Oreochromis niloticus: one gene and its partners. The protein of the gene in region 2 purifies or fractionates together with the protein of the main gene of each other region. This does not show direct contact. Links are inferred from orthologs where the notes say so. Each region holds a gene or a part of one and is shown on either strand. Other genes may lie near its edges. The genes, in order: mtmr3, aurka, ppp6r3 and calcoco1a.

Region 1 (6,996 bases), on a different chromosome or scaffold from region 2:
GGAGAAAATGGCCAACCTCAATAACATCATCCACAGGTTAGAGAGAGCAGCCAATCGAGAAGAGACTCTGGAATGGGAGTTTTAAGTCCACTTTAGGTGTATCCAAACCTTTGCGCCACACAGGAGAGTCTCAGAAGCTTCCTGACGTCTTTAAATGGAGCGTGGCTCCTGAAGGCCTGTCCTCCAAGAACGATAACTCACAGGAAATGGGAACACGGAGCTAATCATACGGTTGAATTCCCTACAAGAACTTGAGAGTTGAAAAAAAATTTATAAATGTGTATTAGTTTGTTTGTTTTTTTCCTTTTGATAATGCATACTACTTTGAAATATATGTGACAGCACTAGCTGTCGTTTTACTTATTGGACTTGACATGAAGACTTTTGCAGCTATGGTGTCATCAAATGTACACTGAAGTTCTGTAGATTGCCACTGGGTGAGATTAAAAGAAGACCCCTGTCTTAAGCCATTAAAAGCACTATAACTATTTGAAAAGAGACACTGACCAAATTTGCTACTTTTTGAATAGCAATTTTTCAGATTTTGTCTGTAAGACTGGACAGTTTAAGTCAAGTAACATGAAATCCTATTACTGACTGAGGGATAGTCCTTTAAGACTCTAAATATTCAACATCTTGTATGTACTTAGTTTCCTGGTGATATGTTTTGAAATATTTGTAACTCACTCGTATAAAATGTGGTTGTACATGTTGTAGAATTGTCTGCAATAGCCTTCTCTAAACCTGATGTAGCATGGTACTCACCTGACCCTGTTTATCCTCTGTAGTTAGTCACCTGTGATTATACTTGAGCGAAAACACGAGAAAAAAGAAAAAAGTTGAAAACCCTGCAAAAAACGAGAAAAAAAAGGAAATGTTAAACCTAATGAGTAGAGTACTTTTGAAGTGTTTTTGGTTTCTTTAGTTTGCTTTGAATAATCCTCGAGGTTTACAGTTTAGGGCCCTTGTGCTTTTGGTAGTGAGTGCAACAGTCACTTCGCACGAGCACAGTTTACACGATTTCTTTCAGACTTACCTCTCTGACTCTCTAAGGCACTGGTTCTCAGACTGTAACGGGCCAAGACACAGGACACCCAGTTTACCTCAGATTATGTTGATGCACATCATGCGACGACCATGCGTTCCATTCTTTTGCATAAACACGACGCACACTTGTTTGGACCGACGGAGGGAAGGCGCTGGCGTATCATGCTTCGGGTGCGAGCTCACGCCTCAGAGGGTCAAACAATGAAGCGAGTGGTGGTGGCGATTGGGGGGCTGGGGGGTTACGAGATAAATCTGCTGCTGTTCGTCCCTTTGTATGTGTTATGGAGTAACACCTGATTGATTGCACATTCTGAAAATCTGCGTTTTACTGTAAATGATACGGAACAAAACACCTCAAGCACAGAGATGCTGTTTAGCTAGGCCACCCCTGCTCTGCGTTGATCTACTTTGAGGCTGAAGTTCCCAGTGTTTAAAAGCATGATACGTACAGTGTGACCTCTCATCAGTCTGTAAGTATGCTATATTCAAGAACACAAAAGGTTACAGGTATCCCCTCATATTATCTTTGACCACGTGTGTATTGTGTCTGTAGACGTTTCTTTGTCATGCTTGCAAGATGTTCTTTATGTATTTTGCCTCTATTTTATACTCAGAACAGTTAACTAGATATTCAATACCTCGTGTATGAAGTACTTACAGCACTTAGATTTTTTTGATAATTGTGAGGACTCAAGAAAAATTTCAAATATCAACATTATCCTAACTTAGTGTCCACAAGTCTTTGCCTTTACTGTATCGTTGAAGTTGGTAGTGAACACTTGCACATGTCTACATAGTTCAGAGGACTTGGATTGTATTATGTAGAGATATATATTACACAATTACTAAAAAAAAATACTATCTTACATTCTTGGAACAAAAATGTGCTGATTATATTGAAATAGAGTGTACAGATTTAATAAACCAAACCCATTCAAGCCAGTTCTGGTCTGGCAAGCTTGCCCACGTTTTAGACCTTCTCTCAGGGTAGTCTTGCTTTTTAAAGCTTTATTGAAACAGTTGCTCTCATCAGTGGTGTTGAATATGAAAACTATGTGACGTGGAGAATGACTCCATTAAATATTCGACGAACATGTGGAAGTTGTATGATTATGGGATTTTCGACACTCACACGGAGGGGAAAAAAAGCGGATTGTTGGAAAGTCGTGGCTGTTTTGTAATTCATTACATGGATGTGTCAAAGTACAGTGTCGAGCGGAACCACCAGGATGAGGCTAAATGGGTTGCATTTTTTAGATCAGTAGACTTTGCTCTTGGAAATACTGTTTGGTTTTTTTTTGTTTGTTTGTTTTGTTTTGTTTTGTTTTTTTCTTGGAGCCACAGAAGATTTCTCTCTGGTTTTCTTACCATCATATTTTGTGCATAATATACTGTATGATTAGAAGTGGCATTTCTTATGTGAAAGCTTCATTGTTTCTCAAGGTAACATGGACATATGACTGAAAATGAAATGTATTTACCCAGACCATTATCTCTTCATGTAAAGCTCATCTCATTGTTTTGCATGCAAATCCATTCTGCTCACACAACAAGGGATAGACTGTTTTTGTGTTATTGTTCTTGCACAGGGACATTGAATCAGCACTTGAAGTCTTTTTGCATTAGGGAAGTCCACGCATGGTGCAGCTGAGAAATTTGCTCTCACAAACTTGTCAAGATTACAGTCAAATCAGAACCTGAGACTGGCCCTACAAACGTTATACTTCCAGATTTATTTTGTGCCATATCACATGCCCCATGCATTATCCTCATGGAGAAATGCCTTGTGGTGAAGTCTGATCCGAGAGGGGTGTAGGGCTTTTTGTAAGTTCAGAAAACAGCAAAGCTTTTTCTATATCACAATAGCCCTACACAGTAGATGTTTTAATTTTATAACTGACTTCAGTCACTAAATAATGGAGAAACTGATTGATTGGCAAAACTTGAATGAATGCATTAAGATTTGCTTATATAAAAAAAAAAAAAATCTGGCACCAAGAGTTTGTCACCAAGGGAAGTTGTCATTTATAAGTCAGCTGTGGGCCAATCGAAAGAAGCATCCTTCAGGCTTAGATAACTGTCTGATGCCTCACGTCAGGCTATTAAATGTTAAAGAATGGACAATGGTATGCCAAGCATCTTGGAAATGAAATTGCATAGGCTGTGTAAGCCATCAGTCAATACATAATTGTTTAAGATCCTGTTGTGTTGTGTTTTTATTTCTTTATGATGAGCAAAGAGTGCTCCACACATTAACATACAAAAGTTACTGCAAATTCATGTGGATATATAAAATATTACACTGTAGCGTGCATCCCTAACTATTTTTAAGTGTAATCATTTTCACATCGCACTCTTCTCTGGCAGTCTTTCAGTGAAGGAAACACTTCATCTTTCCTATTGAATTCAGGGTCATTCATGTCCACTACATTAAGCAGTGATACTTGGGCAATTGTGGATATTATAAATATGACAATAAACACCACTGGATTTTCAAAGAAAAGCCAGTCAAACAAAGTAGACTGAATGTTTATTTATTTAGGAAAATGACTCACTATTACATTCATTAATATGAACCTCTTGGAATAAGAATAATGGTTTTGGATTTCTTCAGACTGAATGAATGTCACTGATGACTAAATGTCATTGAGTTCAAACATCTGACTTCTAATTTCATTCACCAATCAGATATATAACTACATATTTTACCTTAGTGTGTAAAATGAGTATATATAATATAGTGTCCCATTTGTTTAATTAGATGTACTCTGTCTGCTTATAAGGCGTTTGAAAATCGATGATACTTGAGATCGCATTTCTACCTGAATACAAAAAAGGAAAAGGAAAAAACGTTTTAAAGCTGTTGTAATATTAATTTATCAGGCAGCCCACTTGCCAGTGTTTACATGACTTACCGTGTGGCTGAGCCCCTCCCCTTTTCCAGAGAACCACTCTGACGCGATGACGTCACTCACACGTAGAGCTCTTTAGACGGGAGAGTTCGCGGCGATGGCGACGACGGCTCGGTGTTGGAAAGGGACGCAGTGAAGCTGGCCTCGGCTCTGGTATGATTCATGTTCATGTTGGACACGTTGTTTTAATGTTTGGTAATTGCACAAGTTTCGGATGAGTCTTTGTCGTCTAACACCTCAGCACTCGTTTGACTGGTGAGTCCGCCGGTTGTAGTCGTTGCTCGGTGTGTTTTGACAGAGGCCTCCGCTCTGGGGTCCGCCCTCCATCTCATAACAACAAAAACAGTTGCAGAAAGCAGCTTCAGCCTAACCAGCTAGTGCTAGCTAGCAGGTCTACGCGCTGCTCTGTGTCATGGCTTTTAATGCCAAACGTCGAGTGTTAAAAGACCGCTGCACAACAGTTCACTGCCTGCCAGCAAATGTTAATTTCCACTGTTTGCATGTAAATAGCTCTTCGACTGAGCGTTAGCTCGCTAGCATTATTTTACGCTGTCGAGTGGTTGTTGATGAACACTGGTTAGCCAACAGTTTACATTACATAGCTGCAGAAAAACTAGCTAACCGCTATTCAAAAAAAAAAAAAGGAAATAACGAAAGAGGAGTTACTTGACTTAACAACCTGCTAGTACAAGAAGCGTTAGCTATTTTCTTTTCCACCCTTGCAAACGGTTTTTCGTCAACTAGCAACGTGTTAATGTAACGTTGCAGAGCACTTGCGAGAAGCATTTGTTTTGGGGTTGACCGTAGCTTATTTTTTTTAGTGGCCAAAACTACCGGTATCTTTACATCGAATACTAACTAGCTGAAATAACATTAACTGGTGATTAATTAAGTCCAGTTTACGTTTTATTCGCCCTAGTGAAGTAAAAGGTAACGACAAAGTGTTAAAATTGAGCTGGGAAATCCTTTTTCCCCAAATACGAAGTTAGCCGAGGCTTTTGCGTTTATACACTTTTTAGCGGCGCTGTTCAGTATGGCTACCCAGCTGTGAACGCAAAGCTCCGCTGTCAACCGTGTTGGTTCATTGTCTCGTTTCTTGTTTTTTCCTTATATCATTTAGACGCTAGAGTGTCGATAATGTTACCACTTGTGAAAATTACTGGCCTGTCACGGGATAGGAGTAAGGTTAAGGCTCTAAGGGGCTTAGACTTTTCTGTGTGACTGCTGAACTGAGAGCCAGACTGAGCCGTAGCCACGGGTCACGAGCGGGCTGCAGTAAACAGAGCCGTGTGTTGGGCAGATATGCTTTATCAGGTAGCAGCAGCAGTAAAAGTTGGCCTCTGCTCTCAGTGAAGTAATGACCTCGTTTGCCTCCTTCACAACTCTCTCTCAATGACCGGAGATGCTTCTGGCAGTACAGCGGGATATTTTGTCTTTTTTCTGTCTCCAGGCTGCTTAAATGTTCCTGAGAAGGTGTGTTGGTCTCCTGAGCTGCCCCTCCACTGACCCTCTTAGATCAAATTTCAGTCTTTGCAAGCGTAGCTGACCTTTACAACTACTTGTGGGCCTGTTTGCTGAGAGATCCTAACAGGTTGCCTTTTGAAAAGTGATGTTAGAGGATATCGATAATGGAATGTAAGAAAAAGCTCTGTATAGATGGTTTGCATGATCTGACCAACAAAGCTGCTGCTGCTTTTACTGTTCTTGATAAGTTGCATTTCTTTTGCTCTTTCAAGGGCAACCTGGGTAGGAACTTAAAACCAGTCAGCCACTGGACAAGTCCTGCAAGGTCTTTGGCTCTGCTTGGCCAACCATTTGGGCAAATTACCAACCATTGTTGGGTAGTTGAACCACAAAGCACAATTCATTGAACACTAGCATTTCTGATGTCTTTCACTACCCTTTAAGAACCTCAAAATGTGACTGTATGTTCTTAAATATGTATTGTGCACATAATTGTTTATTTTTTTTTGAAGGTGAACATTAGCCGATCAATTCACGTGACTGAACCATGTCTTTATGCAAGCTAAACTGTAGGCTCGGAGAACCAGCTGGCTTATTTTCCAGTCTGCAGTACAGTTTTAAGTGGTATCTGAGCTCACATGCAAGCCACTGTGACCACCAGGGCATCTATATTTGCCAGTGAATCAAAAGAGCTTCTGTAGCTTGTGTGCCTCAGTAAGGAGAAGCATTTTCTCATTATTCACTTTCATTTCCACAGATTTCCATGTCTTACTTGTGAGAGTTTCCACACAGGATCATCAGGTCTGCCTATCATCCATTAGTGATTGTTTGTGGTAAGTCTAAAAATCTGTGTTTTCACATTTTGTTCATTTTCTTAAATTTTAACCATGTAAATCCAACCATTGGATTTCCCCCATACTGCCATTTTTCTGACTGCCCAACATATCATAGTTGATCATCATTTACAGTCTTCTCAATGCCTGGACACACTGCATGGGAAAGGCATTTGTGCATCCAGGTGCTCATGTACAGCCTCATTAACGTATTATGAGCCACTCCTTTTTTTTTTTTTTTTTTTTCCCTCTCGCTTCTGCTTCTACTACTACTACTACTACTACTTTTATACGTGTAAACTTGAAAATATGCTCACATGCTTTCTAATGCTAACAGAAACACTTAAAATTTATGTAGAAAATGCTGTTAGTCTGTTCATGTCAGCAGAGAAATGAGGTTGGTCAGAGATGAGAGATCTGGTCTGGAGTCGAACTGGGGATATTGTAGTTTGTGGTTGGTGTCTTAACCCCTCAACCACCCTGGCGTCCGCACAAACATGTATTTACATACCAGGCCGGTGCCAGCTTCAAGAACAAGGTTTGAAACCTTAAAAGTGGATTTCAGTTTATTTCTAGCACACCCACACCACCAAGAACCTGGGTTGTATGTGGGCAAAGGTGAGGGTTTCTGGTTTAAATGATTAAATGCATGTTGAACTGAATTGCAAACGTAATTGTGGATGCATTCTCTTCTGGTAAAATGGCAGTTTCATAGTGTCCCTAAATGACAATTAAATTCT
Region 2 (6,991 bases):
TATAGCCATTGCAAATCGCAAGAAAAGAAGGGAGATGATAACTGTTACGTTGGGGCAGTAGCAGCAGATTTGTGGCGTTTCACTTGTACATCCAAAATCCACTTGTGTGGAAAAATCTTTAAAAACTACGAGATGACTAGTCAACAGCTTAACGTTCTCTCCAGACCAGTCGCTGCATGAAGTGGGTTTACGTGTTTCAGGCACGCCGTCTTTTCTGTTCTTGTATTCTACTTGATGCAACTCATTTTCCCGCGGACTAACGTTTCACTTTGTTCTCGAACAGGGCCGTGAAGCCGTGGAGTGGGTTATCAGGCGACTGAATACAGAAATCGAGGAGCTGGCAGCCACAGCACGTGGGACCATACGCACCCCAATGGCTGCTGCGGTCACAGAGAAATGACACCCTACTCTGGTGTTCAGTTGAGTCTCAGATTGGACTGCACAGCAGTACAGCCAGCCTCCTTCTATGATGCTCTGGTCCTGTTTGGTGCTTTGGGGATTTTTGTATTATTTAAGGGTACAATTTAGGCATGTTGTGTACTTTTACCAGTTATGTTCTAAGCCGGAGACTGCTGCCTAAAGGAGGTCTGAGTGTTTTCTAGCGATGCGGCCTGGCGGGACTGCTTTGATAGGGCGCTGAAAAGTTGGTGGCTCACTCAGGGAGATTTAAACACTACTGCCATTTGTATCTTTGAAAAAAGGTGCAATGTGGATGGACTGGAAACACAAGAAATGTGCCAATGCAGACGCTGCTTTTTGTCTTTACAAATGCCTTCTCCAGGTGTGTTTTCATCTGGCAGAAATGTGTCAGAATGCCAGCACATCGTCTCTGGTCTGAGCTTCACGTTTACAGCAGAAGAGTCGGAAAGAAAAACAGTTCATGGTGAGACGTATAGGAGTGACTGTAACAAATGCGTACACTGAGAAATGATGGCTGATATTAGCCATGGAGGTCAAGCGCACCGAATGTCACAAATGCATGCAAGCAGGTCAGATTAAACGGTTTGGGTTATCCACAGTGATCACAGTAAGGTTTATTTGTGTAAGAGAGCCACTTCAACACTGTTTTCCTATGGGACCTCAGTTACAACAACAGACTGTAATAGGTACGAATGAAAGCCTGATACTAAACTGTACTGATGTAATGTAATAACTTATGTTATTGAGGTATTTAAGTTGAAATGAAGGGATCAAAGTACTTGCCATATTTATACTTTTAAAAATGTATAGTAGACCTTCTCAAATGCTGCTTTAATGTAACATAAGCATGAATCTGTTTACTGTGTAGAAACAAGGGTCAGACTTCTTTTTACATACTAAACCTGAGGTTGTTTCAACTGAAGTAGTTTTATCAGCACGTACATAATCCTGTAAGCATGATCACTGAGTGCAGGGGCCGAAAGCTTCACACTTATTACCAGTAAAAGCTGCTACACGTGCTAAGCGAGCATTTTGATAAAACTGTTTCAGTGGATACCCTGTGTTTGAGATAGTCTCATAGTGGGAATCTGTGTGGCGATGGTAAACGCACAACTTTCTGTACATAAGATATTTATTAATATATATATTTTTTTACCTATGCCAGGAATATTTATTTTTGAAAAAAGAACAATTTGGCAGAGTAAACTATGAGTTTGGTTGATTTTTAAAGGCAAAATCACATGTTCACCTTGTAATTTGTTTTCTGAATGGGTTATTGTGTAAAAGATTCTCACCAAATGCAGAATGTGTCAATAAAATATTTGAACCCGTTTTATTTAAGAGCTTTTGTCAGATATTCTTTCTTGTTTTTCAGCTTTAATAAATGTGAAGACGCTCTTGATTGTGTCAAAATAACCTGACCTGATTGTCTTTGATGGTTTCAGTCAAGAGACAGTCACTTATTTTATACATCTGAACTGTCAGCTGGAAGCAATGGTTGTATATTTGAAACACAGAGGGAGTTACCTGACATAAACCAGAAACGCTGCACATTTGACAGGATGCTTGAAGTTCTGACTTCATCATGCAGGCGCCACATGCTGCCACATAGTGGACAAATGTCACAGTTACAATTTCTGTGAAAAAATTAAGGAAATGAAATGTTGCTAATTAAAAAGAATTATTTAAAATGTTTGTGGAAGAGGAAATGATTCATATTTTATATATTTTGGGTGACATATTTATACAGGATTTTTGACATTATAAAAATGCAGAACCCCAAGTCAGACTCATTTATTTTGAACCAGTGTATGAGCAGCTCTGTTACATATCTGGTATGAAAAAGTACACAATAATAAAAAAGCAAATACAGTTCAAAGAAGCATGGGCCTTATGGTAAAGGCCGGCTCAATTTTTTTGATCGATAGATTTTTACATATTATTTTCCAGTATACATTGTTTTCTTGTTGTTGTTCTCCCTTTATAATTTATTACTTTTTATTCTAATTAAGCATATAAATACATAAATAGCATATAAACAGCTCTTCAGTTAAATTTGGAATAAACATAGATAGTTTATTCTCAGTTTTGTCCTTACAAAAGGTGATGCACACCCAAAATGGCATCACCACTGCAGGTGCATGGTGCACTTTGGCGTCACTTTGGCTTGTCTTGCAGACCTGATTACTGCAATAAATCCTATTTAACTTGGGCTGACCTAACTTCACACCCACCACATCTGCATGCCCCTGCTCTTTTATTTACAGATACTTCCAGGGACATGGTGAGATTTCTTTCAATACATTTTCTGGCCAGTTAGCTCCTATTGGTTAGATAGTTAATAGTCACTGAAGTGCAACAGTGATACTGAAGAATGTAAGCTGCCCTTGCACAACCAGTTGCATGAAGAAAATAAAATTCTCATAATCTCTTTGAAAACAGAGAAAATGTCCTTATCGTCTGTGTTTGAGTCATTAGCACAATTCAATAAAACACCACAAATGGGAAAGAAGTTCTTTTTTTAATCCACAAAAATCACAACAGTATCCTATGATTATTCTGAATCTCTTGGAAGCCTGTTTTGTTGGATATATCTGACCCTACTGTACTGATAAAACTGGATTTATCACCACGTAATTAGATTAATTACCCACCAAGAGATGCCCAAAGATATCTTGCAAAAGGAAATCACTTTTCCTTAATTAATATTTACTTCTCCCTGGATGTAGTTTCTCGTATATTAATAATACACATCTTAGCAAAGGTTTGAAGACCATGTAATTAAAAAAATTCCACGTAGTTTTCTAATAAATCATTTGCTGCTTGGTTATATAAGCCTTTAGTTTGTGTAATAATTATCCGTGAGGGTGTCAGAAGTTGTTTTTCTTACATTTTCCAGCCAAAGTTTTAAAACTAGCAAAAACAAAAAGAAACATAAAATAAATAAAAGACTTTATATATAGTTTAGAGTAATTTAGACAACACAAACAAATAAAAGGAGGGCTCTAAACTCGCTTTATAATTTGCTGTTGATTATGAAAATTGCATTTTTTATTTACTTAAGCATTGCATTTATTCCTTATGTGTTGCTGATTTAACTATTTTCTTTTTAAAGAAAATCGTTCAATAACAATAATAATAATAATAATATAAAGACAAATAAATGCGTTTTGTAATTTCTGATCTACTGGGAATCAAAAATAATAAATTTAAAGAGATTTAAAAAGCGATATCATTGATAGTAATAAAAAGAAAGACAATACTATGAAACTATAAATAACTCTTGTTTTTCTGAGTTTATATTTGGGAAGAAACTTTTTTTTCAAGCAGCTGAAGTAATAATAAAGTCATTAAGTGTAATAGCATGTGGTGTGGAAGATTTCCTGTACTGACAGTGTCTGTGGACTGCCCCCTAGTGTTTTGGAAGATTCACTTCGACTTTAGTACGTCACGCTCCACCGGCCGCCGCGTGTAGCCTCAGCCAATGGAGAGTGAGTACTGAGCATTCCCTCAGCCAATAGCAGCCTGTGTTGTATTTAAAGGTTTTAAACCGAGGGCCGTTTGAAATTAAACAAGCAGTCTTCGGAGAGTTAGCCAATCTCAGTCAGTCTCTGTACTGCTACAGCTTTGTGCTTCGACTTTATTGTTTTATTAGCACTCATGTAGTATTTTTTAGACAAAAGAAGTGATACTAAGGTAGACTGGTCGATAAAGACTCGTCGTAACATCTCCGTGGATAGTCCTTATGTTTGTAGCGAGCCACAAACGCCAGCTGTGGTCTACTGGCCGACGTAGCTGTTAGCTAGCCTCCCTTGGAGCTGTTTTCGACCCGTTTATGTTCTAGAAAAATTATCGATTAGCGTTGAATCGGGTCATTGCAATAATATATTTAGGTAAGTGGTTTTATACAACTAGCTTGTTGAAAAAGTTGATGTTTTGGTGTGGATGCAAATTTAACTTTACCTGATCGGCAACAACGTGACGTTGATGGCTACTGTTAATCTTCCTGACAGAATAAACATTGTAAATTGTATATACGTGTTTAAACAGTTATCTCAGACACGAATACAAGAGCGTCTATATCCAAATAGGATTGTTGTTATTGGGTTTTGTTTTTTGTTTTAGTTAGAAGAAATGTCTGTGAAGGTTCTCGGTCATCCAGGTCATCGTAGTCTAAGGAGGTTGGAAGAGACTCTTAGCTAGAAGAAACGTGGCAGACTAAAGAGTTAAACAAACTGCATGTTTTTCTTCATTCCTATCATTTTTTTAACCCTTTCTTTGATTAAAACCTGTCTCCGTTTACTTCTTTATTAGATTATGGACTCTACTGCTATGCACAAGATGCCAAAAGGCACGAAACTTCAAAGGCCTGAAATTAAGGTAACTCATCATAAACCCGGAGCTGGTTGAAAATTTAATTAAATGTGTGTTTTTGTTTTTTAAATATCCTTGATTACTGTGTATGGCATTAGATTTGCGCTTCCAGGCATACCAGTGTCTTTTCTATATGGCTTATTAAGAAGATCTAGTGTATATAGAGACTCGGCATATGCATCACCAAAAATGGAGCTAAGAGAGAATTGACCCACAAAGTTGGATGGGTGAAAAGGACCATGGCCAAAACTAAGCACTTGTATGTGATCATAGGAGTACGATCCACTGATCCCAACTATGGATAGGATTTTAATTGAGGATGGGATTAAAACAGAATTGGTGTTTGTTAATTTAGATAACCTTGTCTTTTGAGGTAAAAGGTAAATGCTGTTGTTAAAACTTGTTTTTTTTTTTTTCAGATTAGGTAACTCACAAAGGTAAACAGATTTCAAGGTTTCAGATTTTTAGAGTTAATCATGCCTTGTTTTCATCCTGACTCCCAGCTGCAGCAGCCTTTTTTTCAGGTGACAGTCTGTCACTATTTCCCTGACTGCAACTGGTCCAAAACGCTGCAGCTTGACTTTTAACTGACATACGCAAGACAGACCACATGTCATTTTTAAGGCGTTGCATGCGTTTGCACCTTCTTGCCTCCATTTAACTTTGGGTACTTCCATCAGATCACTGAGATCTGCTTAGCAGGTTCTCCTAGATTAAAACAGAGCTGATCAGGTTTTTGCTCCTAAATTGTTGAACAAACTGCATCTGCACATCTGGACCCCTCCAGCATTAGACATTTTCAAAACCTGTTTTCATCCTTGGCTTTTAACTCTAATTGGATTACTTTTTCTCAATCCTGCTTTACTCATGTTCTCATTTTTTTTCTTTTTAAAATCTATTTTCTTTTTATTATTTATGTATTTTATCCATCCAGTTATACAGGATGGTAGCCAGCAGTTATTTTTTTAAATGAGCTTATAAATAAACTAAACTGACCATATTGACTACACCACAAAGGGCATTGTTAATCCTGATAATATGAGCAGAATTGGTGACCTTAAATTGGACGTTGGTGAGAGCATATGGTTGTCTCTGTCTCTGTTAGCCATGCGACACACCAGCGACCTGTCCAGGGTGTGCTCAGTGAGAGACTGGGTCGGATAGATGGTTAAGAAAATTAAGAAATCAATTTCAAATTACAATTATTTCAAGGTATATCTAATTTATGATACTTTCAAAAAATAAAAAGCTTGAAGCTTTTTTTTTATTATTGTTGTTTATCTTGTTTGTTTGCAGTCAACCAGTGATGGGCCCAAGCGGATTCCTGTATTGCAGCAGTCACAGCCCATTCAGAAGGCTGTAGTCACACCAACACCGCATCAGCGGGTTCTAGGTGTATCAAATGGACCTCAGCGCATTCAGAGGCCTGTGAGTCATCAGAAACCAGTGTCAAACCTGCCCGTTACTGTCAAGTCCACACACCCTGCTGATCAGAATGTGAACCCCGCTACTCAGAATGTAAATGCAGCAACACAGCTCAAACCCAGCACCCAGCAAAACCAGCCGAAAACGCAAGCTCCTAAACCAAACCTGACCAAACCCCAGTCGGAACCACAAAAGCCAGAGAAGCCACAGGGTAAGTGTAATACTAAACTGGGAAAACAATGGTGTTTGTGTCTGTGTTTTGGGTGCTAAAATGTATCCTCCTCTTTCTTTGTCCAGACAAACCTGCCAAGAACGATCATGCACAAACTTCTACATCAAAGTATGTTTAAGAGTGGTTCTTTGTCTCATCCATATACTTTTATGACAGGTTACAGTTTATGTCGCTCTTGCTGTAACCGTGTGCTGTTCTGCTCACACAGGACACGGTGGAGTCTGGAAAATTTTGACATTGGTCGTCCTTTGGGAAAGGGGAAGTTCGGGAATGTTTACCTGGCCAGGGAGCGACAGACTAAGTTCATCCTGGCCCTGAAGGTGCTCTTCAAAAAGCAACTGGAGAAGGCTGGGGTGGAGCACCAGCTGAGGAGAGAAGTGGAGATCCAGTCTCACCTCAGGTAACATCTGTCGAATTATATTTTACTGTTAATTGTAATTAACTGCTCCCCAGACTCACGTTTCTCAAACTGTGGTGAGTAGACCCACTGCAGGCAAACTACAGATAAGGGAAAAGAGGTGGGGTCAAACTGAAGTGACT
Region 3 (7,351 bases), on a different chromosome or scaffold from region 2:
AAAAGTAATGATAATCCTGAGATTTATAGAAAAAATATGATTAAATATCATCAGTCTTAGAGTAAGCTTATGGTTTAAGGGAAGTAGTATAATGTGTTATGATAAGCTTGAATTTAAAATAGAAATAAAATATCTGTAATATCACTAAACATTGCAGCTGAAATCTTTGACATTTTACTGGATGTACCTCAGCACTGATCTTAAACGTGAGCTCATTATCTTCGAGTAACTGCTTCTGCTTCTCTGTCCTCTTTTTTTTCTCTGTATCTAAGCGATGAATCCATTAATTACATTAATTTAAAAACTCCCACAGCGCTCTTTCCCATTACTCTTCAGTGTCCTGACACTGACTCCTTCCCAAGGTGTATCAGAGTTACAAGGAAATCACACATGTTATAAAAACTGAAAGAGCACAGTGAAATAAAGAAACCTCTCTAGATGGCCTGAGTTACGAGATATGTATATGTCAGATTCTCCAAGAAAATGAGGATTTAATCTCAGAACAAAGGCCCTGGAAATGTTGGGGAGATTATATGTCTTGACTGGCTAAGGAAGGCTTTGGTGTCCCCCTGGATAAACTGTGGCTGGCTGAGGAGAGGGACGTCTGGGCTTTTTTTTCTGGCCTAGTGACACAAACCTGGATTAGTGGCAGAAAATGGATGCAATGGATGTAGATATTTGTGACAAAACTAACTTGCATTTCCCATTTCTATTTTTACAATCAGTGGCTCGCATTAATTAAAAATAATTATTTTCAAAAACAAATATTTCTCTCTTTTCTTTCTACATTTCTTTCTGATTTTCTACCACATTATGAAACTGACTTGCCTGCAATTCAGACTGTGTCAGGCTCAACTCTTTGCATGTTGGTGATCACATAATAATACTTGGAACTAAACTACCACAGAAGTTCAAAGGGTAAAGAGGGAATTAATAGGCAGCTAAATAAATTACACTTACTGTCAACTTATGCCACATCATTATTATTATTAAAATTATTATTTTGGTGCAATGAATGTCTCAACTTTGGGATAAATAAAGCATGTTTTATCCTATCTAATATTCATTTATTATTTATTAAGTCATTTAGGTAATTTATGATATGGGTGGTTCTACCAATTTCCCAGCACCAACAGCAGATCCAGCAATACTTGAATAATGTTGAGGTCCAGGCTCCTGGGAGGCCAATCCACATCCAGTGAAATTTGTGACGGCATTTCAGTGTGTCTTCTATCCAGGTATGCCTTTACTGCATTGTCAGCATATTCGCTTTATCATTGAAAAAGTGAAAAATTAAGCCACTATCGCACACTTTCCAGATGGTATTGCACTGTGGATTTTTTGCATTCATAATTACATGAATTTTGACAAGATCTCCAGCACCACTGGCTGAAATGAGCCCCAAATCATGACATGCCTCCTCCATATTTTACCAGTGACTATAGACACTCACTGTACCCTTGTTGCAGCCCTGACATCCTCCATACACACTGGCAATGATTGGAACCAAAGATATCTACTTTGGATTCATCACTCAATAAGACCTGTTGCTACTGATTTTCACACCAGTTTTTGTGTAGTTTGGTGTAAGAATGCGTTGTTGACAGCCACCTTTCCACTGAGACCATTTCTTTGGTGAACAGTAGATGGATCAAGGGTCAGATGCATCTCTCAGGTATGTGTCATGTTTATAGAATCGGCTAAAGAAACGGGAATGTGTTATTTGTAACAAAGTTCCTAGCGACACAATTTATATTTGGATCTTTAAGTTCTCTTTAATTCCAGACACAGTACTGGTTCATCCCTTTAGTTAGATGTTTTTTAAGCTTGAATGACTCATAGGTCAGTGCTCAGTTGCTTAACCATCAAAAACACATTGCTGTCAGGTCAAAAATCTGTCAGGTACAAGGACTGGGCTGAAAATGAGTGAAAAGCAGCGAATGTCCAAAGAAGAACTTTGAAAGACCCCGAGAACTCCTTGAGAACTGTTGCTTAATATCCCTTTAAAAATTACGAGGAAATCTGGCTCCGTGAAAGCAAAACATGAAGAAGAAGAAGGGGTGGCTCAATACACAATATCGTATAGGCTATTTATAAGGTGTACAATGCAGCTTTAAACCCCGTTTAATATATTAAAGGCTCTACTTTTGAAAACAGTTCTGATTTGGAAATTATTTCAGGATCATCATCTGAATGGAAAGCATTTCATAAACTCAAACAGCTGTGTTACAACGCACTGATTCCTCCCGATGTTGCAGGGCTGGTGTTTACCTGCTTGTTGTAGCTCTGTAAAGCCGTCAGAGCCGAGTCTTGGTCGCCCGTCTCCATCTCCTCTATAACGGCACTTAAATCCATGTTCATCATCACTGAGCTAGCTGCTGCTGCTGCTGATGTCTGTATGTTTGTTCCCTGGACTGCGGATTCACGTTATGCTCCGTTACCTCTGACGGATGAAAGCATGACGTCTGAATCCCGAAGATCTGATGAGAAGCGATTAGCGAACGGGGATTTGTGCCAGCCAAGTGCTGCGTTTAGAGTCCCAAGAAAAGACGGGAGAAATAAAATTTGTGATTAAATTTTTGTAAATGGAAAAAACAAGTGAGGATGTGGATCACAAGAAACGTTAAGAGCAATATTAGACATCACTATATATGCATAGTCTAACGACTGTAAAAGAACGCTCCTCTCTCAGACTGCGGGCTGCTTGTGGTGTTCATCAGAGTTTCTAAAAGCAGTATTGGAGGCCTTCAGCTTGAAGTGAAACTGTGAAGTGCGGCACACGTTAGAGAAATGCGGGTTGGTGAGACTGAAACATCTTTCAGTAACTATTCTTTCATCAAATCGAAGCTCAGTGTGCTGGCTCAAAATTGTTGCAATTAATTGCAACATAAAGTAAGCCATCAACGACGCTGTTGGATGTCCCCATAGTTAGTGAGGTTTCAGTAAAAAGAAGAAAAAGAAAGAAGTGAAAATCAAATTTGAACCAGTGATATTTATTATGAATTATTCTTGAGGAATTTGCAGTGCTTTAATAATATAACCCTTTTTGAAGCCACAAAACAACTGAGAATGAATTCCACATACATTTTATTTTAAGTTGATGTATCACTGATGCCATTTTAGAAAGCCCAAAAGTTTCGATCATCCTTTAAAAAGACAAACGGTGTATGTGTGCAAGATTTTCCAACCGGTAAACTGAGCGATAGTGAGCAAGTCAGTGCAAACGTGAGAAAAAAATGAATTCAATATAAGATAAGATAAGATAAGATAAGATAAGATGGCCTTTATTAGTCCCACAGGTGGGAAATTTGTTTTGTTACAGCAAAAGTGCAAAGTTATGTAGCAGAAATTAGAAAACACTGGAATGCAATAAAATAAAATAAAATAAAATAAAATAAAATACTATGTACAACAGAATAAAATAGAATAGAATAATATATACAATAGAATAAAATACAAATACAAATACTATATACAACTGAGTAGGAAAATACAAAAACACAACTTCGTCAGAAGAAGAATTGCACATATAGCAGTCTTATTGCACATGTGTGGGTTTGTGTGTTTGATCAGCTGCAAAAGTTTGATCAGTATCAAACTGACTCTGAGCTGTTCCACAGTCCTCACTAATGTGGCAGCAACAAGCAACTTGAGAAGTTCGGTGCTCTCTCCTGTAGCTAGTCCAGTGAACTGAAAGTTGAGCAGAATCTTCTTTTCACTGATAATTCAATTTAATAACACATGATAATAGCACATTATCAAGTGCTGCTCATATGTCATTCTCTGATATACCATTTAAACTGACATTATAAAGCGTTTTTGAGGTTACTGTTGTCGTTAACTGTCGCCATGTAAATAAAATTACACTAACACATACCTAAAAGATAAGATAAACACACGTTCGCTTTAGGTAACGAGGGTCTGCGCTCTTTACACTACCGCCCTCAACTGGGCGTTTCTTGAACGAGACGTGGGCGTGCTTGTACGCTACTTAGTGTGCTCGATTTAAAATTCAAAGCAAACGTGCGTGCGGGGTGAAGGTTTTATATTACCCGCAGTTTACCCAAATATAGTTATCAATTAGATGAATTACACTACATTAAACCTTCAATTTGTTGTGTTACCACATGAGTCTAACTGTTTTGCTTAAAATTCGATAAACAGTATAAACCCCGTTCTTCCGGGACACTATACACATACTCTGTGTAAATGACGTCTTGACGAGACACGCACTATATCCAATAAAAGCTTACGGCCTTGTTTGAGCGACGGGATTCACAACCAATAGTTTTGCGGAAATCGTTTGATTGACAAACATTGCAGCTGGAGTGGGGGAAGGGGTCGATGAAGTTGACGGAACCGCCATCTTGAAAAGTGCCCTCCGAAGATCTACATTTTCGCGCCTGTTAGAAACAGTTTTAAAGGCTTTATTTTCCTTACCAAAATTTAATCTTAGCTCTGTCTTAGTATCGCTAAGGTCCGACGCTAATGTTAAGATAAGCTACATGCTGGAGAGTTGGTGTTTACCCTTGTCTATTGGTAGGTACAATTGCAAGCTCATACACTTGGTGCTGAAGAGACGATTAGCCAGCAGTCTTTAGATAGCCGGCTAACGTTAGCTGGCTAGCAAAGAGCATACTTGGCCATCTTATCACTGCGCTGTCAGACTGTGGTTTTTCAAGCTAAGAGGAGGCTAACGTTAACATGGCACATTATTTTAAGGTACCTCGGAATCATACTTTTATTTTTTTGTCAAACCTGTCAGCCAGTTAATATTACCCTCATATGTGACATATATTAGGTAACTGGTTGAGTTCGATAGTACTGGGTTAGCTAACAATAGCTAGTGACGTTCCTTGTACCGGTGTGTTGTCTTTAACGCCTGCACCGTTAGTGGTAGATAGGTTTGGGCCTTAGGATGTAAACGAAAGGGTAATGACGTGAATTAAAAAGGGCTACTATTTTGACTCGTGTTTAGCCGAAATGAAAGCTAACCGTATCTAACTGGGCCGTTGTGTTTTTGAGAAATGTTAACTTTGCGTTCGAATGTTGGTTAGCTGAAATGAAATACAACCAATAACGATTGCGTTGAATGACTGCCTTTACACATGCTTAAGGAAATAATATTTTTTTAAACCGCTCAGTCTGTTGGTTCGGAACTGATAGTCAAGCCCAGATGAACCAGGTGATTCTGGGTGAATATTATGTATTACCACCCAACTAAAATGTGATATCTTATTGCATGTGTATAGTTGCACTACATAGGCCTGAAATGTAGGTAGAGTTGGTATTTAGATTGATTTTATTACGGGCTCGTAATGTTTATGTGCCTACGGTATTTTTATTATTTTCGGTCTCTGGCGTATGTTAAACTGTTTTTGGGAGTGATAGTTTTATCAAAATACAGGCGTTTTATAGTGTGAGTGTGGTGTAGTTGATGTGTCAGCTGCATTGCTGAGTTAACACAAAATTCATAATAGCAGAAATATAATCGGCATCCAGATGTCTAGCCACACTTGATTTGCCAAAGTAGTTTGGGATTCACAGCAGCCGGTATCCTGTATGTTTATCACACGCAGTTGCTACAGTCTCTTAGTAACAAGTCACTGTTCTGAATATAAGTAGGAAGGTGCTTTGTACAGTGGGTGAGCTTGTGATTATAGGTTGTCTGTGGTACAGAACTGGTAATTAGAAGAACTTTTAGGTGGGAAATCAATGAATAGGGCAAATGATGAGAGGCTGCTAGTCACAAAGTGTTTAAAGATGCATACAATTTTAAATGAGGTCTTTGCTAAGCGATTTATCTGGAGAAGTACAGCTCAAAGCTGGTTTAAAAATTAAGAGAAGGTTTACCTCCTTGAAAGCAAAATAAAAAGAAATGGGAATGGATTAATACCTCTCAGTAATGTACAGTAATGTACGGAACTGGCACACATCTCAAGAGTGTCAACAACAAATATTCAGAATAGTTGCTAACAAGAAGCTTTAGTTTAATGTAACTTCAAACTTATGTGAATATAGATGAAATCACAGAAAAGCTAAGACTTTAACACATTTTCACAGGGATTTAATCAGACATCATAATCATATCATTAAGTCAGGGCTCTAGCATTGAAGAGAAGTGGACTGAAAGATGGCTTGAAAATAAAGGGTATTTACATTGGTCTTGATGGGTATTGTTTGTCACTTTTTCATATTTCTATTGCATGTTACTGAAGTTGTTTAACAACAGAAACTGAAAAACGTGTACAAATAAGAGCATTTCCTTCAGAGTATTTGTACTACACACATTCTTAACATGGGAAAAACCAGGAATTTGCAGCTTAGTTTAATTCCAGCCAATAGCAGCACTTCAGTCATTGTCATTGCCTTTTCATGTTGTCTGTCAAAACGTGGATGGAATAAGCTGTCACCTTTATAATGACCATGTTTTATAATGCTATTAAAAAGTTTTTGCATAATAATTAATTGGTTTTATTGCCTAGTTCTAATTATGAGGAACAGATTAAGTAGTAGAGTCATGTTAGCCTAGATGCACGTCTGCATACCCAGTTGGTGATGAGAAAGAGACTGGGGAGTTTATTTTTCAATGATGTCTGTTATATTAACAGACATCATTGGATGGATATAAGTTGAACAGTTAAAATAGTAATAAGTGAGAACTTGTGCCTTTTTGTTCTTTAAAGAAAGGTCACTCTTTGAGCTCTTTGTATGTGTGGTATTTCTAAATGCATGTAGGTTATTGTAAGTTTCTTATTATTGGTGTTTAATGCCAGCTGGTTAGCCTCAGCTGGGAGTCATCTTGGGCCTTAGGTGGGCTAGTGATACATCATTGACATTGTCTCTTTGACTCACTTGACCACTGTTTAATTTTAAAAACACTTAAATAAAACAAAAAAACAACTATTCCAAACATGCAAAGAAAATCTGTGTAGCAGGAGTACAATGTCTCCAAAATGCTAGGTCTTTCCTGTTGGCATTCTCCACGTTATGATAGCTCTCTGCAGCAACCAGTGTGTAGTAAACACAGAACAATGTAAAATGTATCAGGAGGTTGTCACCACTATCCAGTCCAGCTTTTTGAGTCAGGATGAGATGAATATCTGATCCAAATGTTGGGCGGGGCATTCTTAAAGCCTTTAAGTTATGTAAGCACTTCTAAATGCTGCTGACTATAATAATAAAGTAGAAATCCAAGTAGAAACATGCATACAAAAGAGGAGTGTAATATTAATTTTACATACATGCTAGGGCTGTTCAATATAACCATATATATCGGATGACAATATGAAAACATCTATCGTTTCATATTAAGCTATCGTTTGTTTCGTGGTGTCGCAATAAAACTGTT
Region 4 (7,708 bases), on a different chromosome or scaffold from region 2:
ACCAGAAAGGGGGGAAGAGGCAAAGAAAAATGTAAAAGGAATTTGGAAGAGCTTTTTAAAGGGGCCATTTCATCAGAATCGTTATTTTTTTGCGGTTCTCTGAAGGCTCGTAACTGGCGATCTATGAAGAGAGACGTGCCGCAGTGGGGCTTAATTTAAAACCAGAAAGGTCACTGCACCAGGAAAGGTCCTCAGCTCAGCCAAAAATATAAAATGAGGAGGAGAAAAAGAAAGCAGTGGGGGAGGAAGAGTGGGCCAAGAAAAAGAGCAAAATGAAAGGAGATTAGAGAATGCCGACAGGGAAGGGGGGAACCCAAGCAGGAGGAAACATGTTCAAATAATTTGGAAAGAGTGTCATGGAAGGAAGGACAAAAACTCTAAAGTACTGAGGAAGGAGAAAACTGAGAGGATAATGAACGGAATTGCAATTGAACTGGAACAAGTTTTTGTTTACTTTAATGGTGTTTTTGCAAGTGATTTGTTATAATTGTGCACAATTTGAGGGAAAAGTACTGCATCAACACACAGTGAAGGACTGCCAATCTGTCCAACAATCTGTGTTGGCAGAAACAACCCTCCCCAAGCCTTTGCTGAATTAGGCTCTCCATGCTTTGGACTTGACCAGAGTACTAATGGTCAGATGGGAAATTAGCTTTGGCATATGCAACTCAGCAAAAAAATAGGTGCAACTCTGAAAACCGTGTCTCCAGTTCAGTCTGTCTACGTGAGATGCTGTATCTTGATCTGGCCAAGAGATGCATGTCATGTGTTGGACTCTGCCTTGTTAACAATAATAAACCACTAAAGTGTCCCTCCCCCCAACACACAGGGCATTCCACAAACTAAGATTCTGGTCTTCAATCACTTCTTTATCTATCAGCTCACTTTAATTGTCCACTGGGTTTTTGACTGCACCACATTACATAAAAGCACAGTGGGGCCTCATGGCAGTAGCACGTCAGCCTATGATGTAAAGCCTCGCGGTTTGCACAGATAAGACGAGTTCAATTTTAATGTTGCTAGCACACCGAGACGCACCAGGCTCACTTGTAAAACAGAATGCCCCCTTCGCTTGTAAACGCAGCAGCCCAAGAGGAGGAAAGAGATGGGGGTTGGGAACACTGAGGTGGGGCTGAATTAAAACGACGAGAGGTATTCCACTTGTCCAACTCCAGCAATCCATCCAATGGATCAATTTTTTTTCTCTCTCAAATTCCCAATCCACTCACCATCCCTTTTAAAAACTAATACCCAATTCCAATCACAGCTGCAGTAAAGCATATCTTGTAAAAGGTCATAGTGTGACCTCCGAGTTCTCTAAATTGGATGCTGGTTGGCCCACTTTTCTTTGAAATACCGCACAGCCTAATATAAAAGTGCCCTGTGCACATTCACATTACCAGTGGGACCTGCATCCAGCACATCAGTAGGTGTTCACATTGATGTGAAGTGTCACAGCACAGAGAATTTTACAAGATATTGGATGTTTTTGTTGAGGGAAACGCGAACCAGAACCTAAACATAAACTACAACATGGGGGCCCAGGAATTATCTGGGATAGGTGTATCTGCGTGTGCATGTGTGCTTGCCATAGGCAACATACCGGCATATAGTGGAGCATCTCTCTGCAGCCAGCCAAGGGAACTGATCAGATGGACGATCAAACACTAATCATTCCCTCACGGCCCATACCGAGTAAAGCTGTCATTAATTTTGCGGAATTACATCAAATCTGAGACATTCTTTATGTGGCCCACGGCCTGCAGACAGTTATACGACAGGGACTGCTGCGCTAAGCAGATGGGGCAGCTTGGCCGTGCATACTAAATACCACTGTCCCCCATTTCTCTACCTCCACCCTCCCAACACTCTACCCTCCTTCTAGGCACTCTGCTTCCGCTCTTCTTTCTTTGTTTTCTACCTTGTAATGCCTTTCTTTGACTATATCTTAAAACAAGCAAACATCACTACAAAACACAGTAACTACCATTATTAAAGTCAAAACTGCCCGTATAGTTTTAAATAATACCCAGCCAGAAAAAAAAAAAATGCCGCCAACTTATATTCTCGGTTTTATTCCCACGCAAGACACGTTACCCATTAACTTAGTATGATGAGAAAATAAATTGTTTACTGACATAAATCTTTAATGTTTGTCTCTTGGATCTTGACAACTCTAACAATTTGCTTGGCTATACACAACAGAAGGTCATAATCCCATTTGAGGTTTCCTTGGCAACTGATTACTGCTGAAGGCTAGTTGCAATTTATGACTAGTGACACATACCTGCCATTCCCTTTGAATGAGACATGTGGTAAGCTATATTCAGACAAACCACCTCAGGTAATAAAACTGCAGTAGCACTCAGGGGCTATACCATTTTCTAGCATTGAGAGAAATTCCAAGCCAAGCTGCTAGAAATCAGCAGATGACAGGGATTAAATTTGTGTGGAGTACTTCCACAACAGATAAATAAACAACATGTTGAAAGTTTTGTGCCAGAACACTATTTTTTCCCCCAACCTAACGCCTCGAAGTGTGAATGTTAGCTATCTCCTTCCAAAAAACAAAAAAGAGCTGTAAATTCACACGGTCAGCATAACTGCATGTGTGCGCAAGTTTGCAGGGTAGAGGTGGGATGTTATGATAGGCAGAGGAGCCATAACAGCAGGCAGCCAGGTCAAGATCAAGCAGTTTCATGGACAATCCACTTTAAGTCTAGTCTCTATTATGGTGAAGCCTTCACATTCCTACTGCACAACCGTCTTCTAATTTTACACAACAATGACGCTTCAAAGTCAAGGCTATGTGAAATCAGACACAACACTATCATAAAATAAAGTAAAATAAAATAAAATAAAATAAAATAAAATAAAATAAAATAAAATAAAATAAAAAATACAGTGGCACAAAGCCAGTAGAAATAAGCATATAGGATTAATTCATAAACAATACTTATGCTAGTATTTTTGGTATATCTGATTTTTCTGTGTTCCAGGGAACTCGTGATTTTAAAAAATGGCAAAAGCAAGACATCCACACTGAATTATGTTGATGAATACAACAGAAGAAATCTTTTTTTTAAATAATACCTAAGCCTAAAGACGCATGTAAACAGTGGCTACTGAATAAGCCAGTCATCACAGTAGAACCTATTTAATTATCCCACTGTGAGAGCGAGCCACTATTTCCATCACCACTTTGCTCACACAGGCTCAGCACACTATTAATCCACTTAAACACAATTTATAGGGTCTCAGCATTGACTGTCCGTCGGCATAAAATTACATGAAGCATCCTTATAGTGTCGTCAACAGACTAAATTAGCCAAACTGGACTTACTAATTGAGGAGGAGTAAAGTATTGTGTGACTGGAGTGTCTCATCAATGAGCAGAGATAAATAGGCTGGCTATGGGCAATGAGGTAACATCAATAACTATAATAATACAGGCTGAGCATTATTTAACTTGTGGTTGTGGAGGACTAATAACCTTTAATAGAGAATGCTAACTTTTAATTTCCATTTCTGTTAAATAGGTTTTTGTTATTGATGGCTTTTTGCAGTTAAAGACTTCTTTGCCATTTTAACTCTAATTTAAATTTAAATCATTTAATATAATCAGTTCAACTAAAACCAGTATTTTAATGTTTTTTTTAATTAAAAATATCAAAATAACACATTGTGAACCCAGATAGACAATACTACTACTGTAGCCTTGAGACATATCTGCACAGCCATATTTGCATTTCTCTTCTGATATATCTGCAAAATGAAATCTATGAATTAAGGCAAAGCTAGAGATGGTGAACCCAGGCTTTGTTTTTAAAATTTGCAGCATAGAGAGACAGTGTATCCCCCTTTATCTTGTATCTAATAGTGAAAGGACAAAAAGGCTGTGATATATTTTCATTGTGGGCTTAAAAGACCGCACTGTCTGCTTAGACTTGCATGTTTAATTTTGGTTTTCAAGATGGTATACTGCCATCTGCTGCCCGGCACTGTAACCTCGTCATGCGCTCTATTTGTCCTCATGTTTGAAGACGTTGTGGGATATCAGGCTTATCCTAAAGAAATTGCCAAATTGGGGCGCTTCCAAAATGCAGGATCACTGGATTATTTTGGAAAATGTTTTTGGCTAAAATCCGAATTCCCCTCCATTAAATCTGGAACGTGGGCTGACGTCAGAGGATCTGCTGTGGTTCCTGATTTACCTCATCAAAGTACAGATGATACATGAAGTGGAAAAGGCTCCCGTGGGACACTGATTTAAAACTAAAATAAATAGGCAAAAACTATACAACCTGTAATACTTTACCATCAAATTAAATAACCGTCATATTGCGAAGTCTACCAACTGTATGGAAAATAATGCGCAGATTTGTTTACAGCGCAATATAGCAAATATTTATGAACTCGAACAATCACTACACATAAAAACATCCGTTTTCATTATTACATCCGCTACGTGTGTCTTCCTCTCATCGCAAATAACACACACTCTTTCCATTGGTGAATGAGCAGGACAGCCGCGGTTTGGCAGATATCCGATGCGAAAAACAACGGCGGCCGATGAGACGCGTCAGATTACATTCAGCGGATCTGTTAGTCTACTGTGACCCTGGGGGTTGTAGTTTAAAAAGGGGTATCTCGGCGTAGTTTCAGCTACGTTGTGAACAACAGCTCCCATAATTCCACGGTGCAGAAGAAGCTGTCGTGCTTGTGTTTTGCTTTGGCTTTTTTGTTGTTATTTCGCGTTGTTGGTCCAGCTGAGCTCCGTGAGGAAAGCGAGTCTGCATCGGCCGTGTTTTTTCGTGGGTTTCTTGAGGACTGTCAGTCCAGTACCTCGCACATAGAGGGCTCCTTTAGATCGTCTGCAGAGGGCTGAGGACCGTAAAGGTAACAAAGACATCAGAAACGGGTCGAGATAATGTGCGCAGATCTCTTTTGGTAGTTAACAAAGCCCTGCATTGTCTCTTATTATTTGCATTCCCATCAAATTAACAAATATAACTAACGTGCACGGATTCAGGTCTTTCCGTAGTGGCTGTGATTGTTTGTTTGTCATCTTAAAGCTTTCATCGACGGGCATGACACACTGTTTTCTTGACATGTGCTACTGTTGGGCCTTAAGCCTCGTGCCATGTAAAACGAGTCCACGGAAAAGCTATTTTGATCACTGGTGCATTGTTTTACGCACTGTCTGTATTTTATCTTGTCCGTATTTACATGAGAAACTATTCGTACCTTATGTAGGTTTTGGGTGTTTCACAAAAAATAGAAAACTTTTATCATCTGTGATTATTGACTGTACCACAGGGGATAAATACAAAGTACAGAAGAGTCAAAGTTAATCCAAGTTTAAAGAACATGCTTGTTGTAAATCCTCATTGGGTTTATTGTGCGCTTGCTTTATTTTTGTTCCTTTTGAAAATCTCATCATACTTGTCTCTACTGCTCTATTAAAATGTATATTTACCATGTGTTTCACCTTGTTTGTGTAACAGTGTACCATCACATCATAAATGTTGCCTATACCATAGTTATTACGCCACACACAAAAATAATGCTTTCTGTAGGCAAGCAGTGTGGTTAACTGCAGGGATACCACAAGTTCGTGGGAAGTAACCACTAGTGGAATCTGAGCCCATATACTGCATGCCTACACGTGACGCTGTATAATAGCAAATGATTTTGAAGATGACTGAAATAGCCCCCGGTGACAACCTGTGTAACGTGTCGTGTTGCCTGAAGACCATGCTGTCACTGAGGATTAGTTCTGCATCGGTGCTGTTTCCTTAAGTGTGCACTCAGTCTAGATCTTACACTGAACAAAAATATTCACACACTTGGGGCCTCTTGTTTGTTCAGCAGTGACCACCTCTTACCTATATCCCAGAAATAGCTGTGTAATGTAATGTGTAATGTAACTGTGCATGTTGGTTTGTAGGTTGATTTTGGGTTTGTTTTTTTTTTCCTTCTTTTCTTTCTTGTAGGTGCAATAGAGCATTTGTTTTGTGTTGCCATGGATAAGGATTGGCAGGTGGAGTTTAGAAACGTGGGCTGCAGCTACTTTCCTGAGAGCAGAGTCGACTGCCACTACACGCTGAGCTCACGGCACATATGGGCCAGTAATGATTGGATAGGGCTCTTCAAGGTATTGCTATTCTGATGAATTTCTCGAAAAGCAACTAAATAAATAATATCCAACTTAAAGTTAACACTGTGCACACATTTTCTTCTTCAGGAGGGATGGACATCAGTAAAGGACTACCACACCTTTGTATGGGCGCTAGCCCCGGCTGACTACCAAGAGGGCACAGATGTCAACTGCTGTGTTCAGTTTCAGGGTATTCATACATTTGTTTTCTAACTGTGTTTACTTCCCATAGTCACACAGGATCTGTACTAGATCAGCACATAAAACCTTCAGCAGGAGATTGATGCCTCTGTAAAATGAATTGCTCTGTTATTTACAAAATGCTAGCGAATCACATACTGAGTGGAAGCAAATGTTTATTTCTATCTTAAAATAATTCTTCAGCAGAAAAAAGGGGGAAAAATCCTGTGCACAAGACAAATATCTAACTTAGCTTGGTTTCTAACAGAGACACTCTCTGTCATGGTTTGAATTCATTTCTTTAGTAAGCAGGAGGTTGAGTAATGAGGATGACAAAGACAATGGCCCAAAGGCTGCTCTGCTGACTGCTGCTGCTCACTGGAGAATACAGTGTTCACTTTGTCCTGTGTGTCAGGGGCAGCTGATAAGCCTGATTGAGGGTGAGGGGCACGTGTACAGCAGGTGTGGCATTGACCCCTGGTAAAGTGATTTATCGCTAACTTAAACATACTGTCAATGTCATTCTTCAGTACAGAGAAAGGAAACTAAAGAAAGTACTGATGGTTCCTTATCAGCAGCAATGCAGTGATTTAAAAAGAAGGTCGCCTCTTCTGTGACCTTAGCCGGTGCTCGAAGTTGAAATACAGCTCATAAACTTTACCGTATGTCATTCCCTCTGTCTGTTTTCTATCTTGGCCCTTTACTGTAGCTGTATTGTGAAACAGTAATTCTAAGTAAATCACTCCAAACATGAAGCAATGGTCTGTGTGAGATAATGATATTAGATCAGCTTACTTTATAGGCTGGAAGGAGTCACAGACTAAGGCTGACTGCTTTGTGGTCAGTGTGGGAGGCAGGAGGTGTATCCTCATCAGTTCCAGTATGCTTGGTTAAAGGTGCATGAAAAGGAAACAGAATCAGGAGTTTGGTGATAGTGAAAGTCTTAAAGTTATGCAAGTAGCACAGCTGGTCTGAAAAGCAGTTATTTTGCTCTCAAAATTTGTAAGCCTTCAACTTTATGAGAGACATTCTTATGCCAAACAGTGATTGCTGATGTGTTTTTATGACTAATATCTTTGCTTATATTGGTAGATAGGCTGTAGTCAACAGGATTTATGAAGTGGTTACGTACAAAATAAAGAAATGACCTGTTCTGCAAGTGTCTTTTAACTCAGCATTATCGTACCCACTCTGTGCTCTACATTTTAATCAATCCAGTCCTTTTGGGCCACTTAAAATATCTTTATAGATCTGTTATGTTATATTTGTTGCAATTTCTCCTGCCCTCTTGGCCAGCTCTCTTTTGAAGAAGACATTTTTACTGTCAACGATAGTTTTTACATCGATTCATAAAGGATATATAAAAGT

The links.
Region 1: the proteins of aurka (region 2) and mtmr3 purify together in Homo sapiens (affinity purification with mass spectrometry; 3 studies listed by BioGRID and IntAct, counting the BioPlex papers as one, with this or other methods). This does not show direct contact. The link is inferred for Oreochromis niloticus from reciprocal best matches to the Homo sapiens genes AURKA and MTMR3.
Region 3: the proteins of aurka (region 2) and ppp6r3 purify together in Homo sapiens (affinity purification with mass spectrometry; 6 studies listed by BioGRID and IntAct, counting the BioPlex papers as one, with this or other methods). This does not show direct contact. The link is inferred for Oreochromis niloticus from reciprocal best matches to the Homo sapiens genes AURKA and PPP6R3.
Region 4: the proteins of aurka (region 2) and calcoco1a purify together in Homo sapiens (affinity purification with mass spectrometry; 3 studies listed by BioGRID and IntAct, counting the BioPlex papers as one, with this or other methods). This does not show direct contact. The link is inferred for Oreochromis niloticus from reciprocal best matches to the Homo sapiens genes AURKA and CALCOCO1.

Annotation. Positions count from the first base shown.
Region 1 is NC_031977.2:6,305,277-6,312,272, reverse strand, and holds the start of mtmr3 (phosphatidylinositol-3,5-bisphosphate 3-phosphatase MTMR3), read left to right. Parts: upstream 1-3,995; 5' UTR 3,996-4,112; intron 4,113-6,180; 5' UTR 6,181-6,256; intron 6,257-6,996. Other genes in the region: cux2b (homeobox protein cut-like 2), read left to right, coding at 1-85. UniProt on the Homo sapiens protein: Lipid phosphatase that specifically dephosphorylates the D-3 position of phosphatidylinositol 3-phosphate and phosphatidylinositol 3,5-bisphosphate, generating phosphatidylinositol and phosphatidylinositol 5-phosphate.
Region 2 is NC_031970.2:6,634,067-6,641,057, reverse strand, and holds the start of aurka (aurora kinase A), read left to right. Parts: upstream 1-3,966; 5' UTR 3,967-4,313; intron 4,314-4,734; 5' UTR 4,735-4,737; coding exon 4,738-4,800; intron 4,801-6,090; coding exon 6,091-6,430; intron 6,431-6,516; coding exon 6,517-6,559; intron 6,560-6,659; coding exon 6,660-6,851; intron 6,852-6,991. Other genes in the region: prelid3b (PRELI domain containing protein 3B), read left to right, coding at 284-400. UniProt on the Homo sapiens protein: Mitotic serine/threonine kinase that contributes to the regulation of cell cycle progression.
Region 3 is NC_031972.2:39,401,037-39,408,387, reverse strand, and holds the start of ppp6r3 (serine/threonine-protein phosphatase 6 regulatory subunit 3), read left to right. Parts: upstream 1-4,327; 5' UTR 4,328-4,539; intron 4,540-4,590; exon of another isoform or gene 4,591-4,722; intron 4,723-7,351. Other genes in the region: ric8a (chaperone Ric-8A), read right to left, coding at 2,272-2,364.
Region 4 is NC_031984.2:19,325,587-19,333,294, forward strand, and holds the start of calcoco1a (calcium-binding and coiled-coil domain-containing protein 1), read left to right. Parts: upstream 1-4,692; 5' UTR 4,693-4,899; intron 4,900-5,996; 5' UTR 5,997-6,025; coding exon 6,026-6,157; intron 6,158-6,247; coding exon 6,248-6,350; intron 6,351-7,135; exon of another isoform or gene 7,136-7,225; intron 7,226-7,708. UniProt on the Homo sapiens protein: Functions as a coactivator for aryl hydrocarbon and nuclear receptors (NR). Recruited to promoters through its contact with the N-terminal basic helix-loop-helix-Per-Arnt-Sim (PAS) domain of transcription factors or coactivators, such as NCOA2.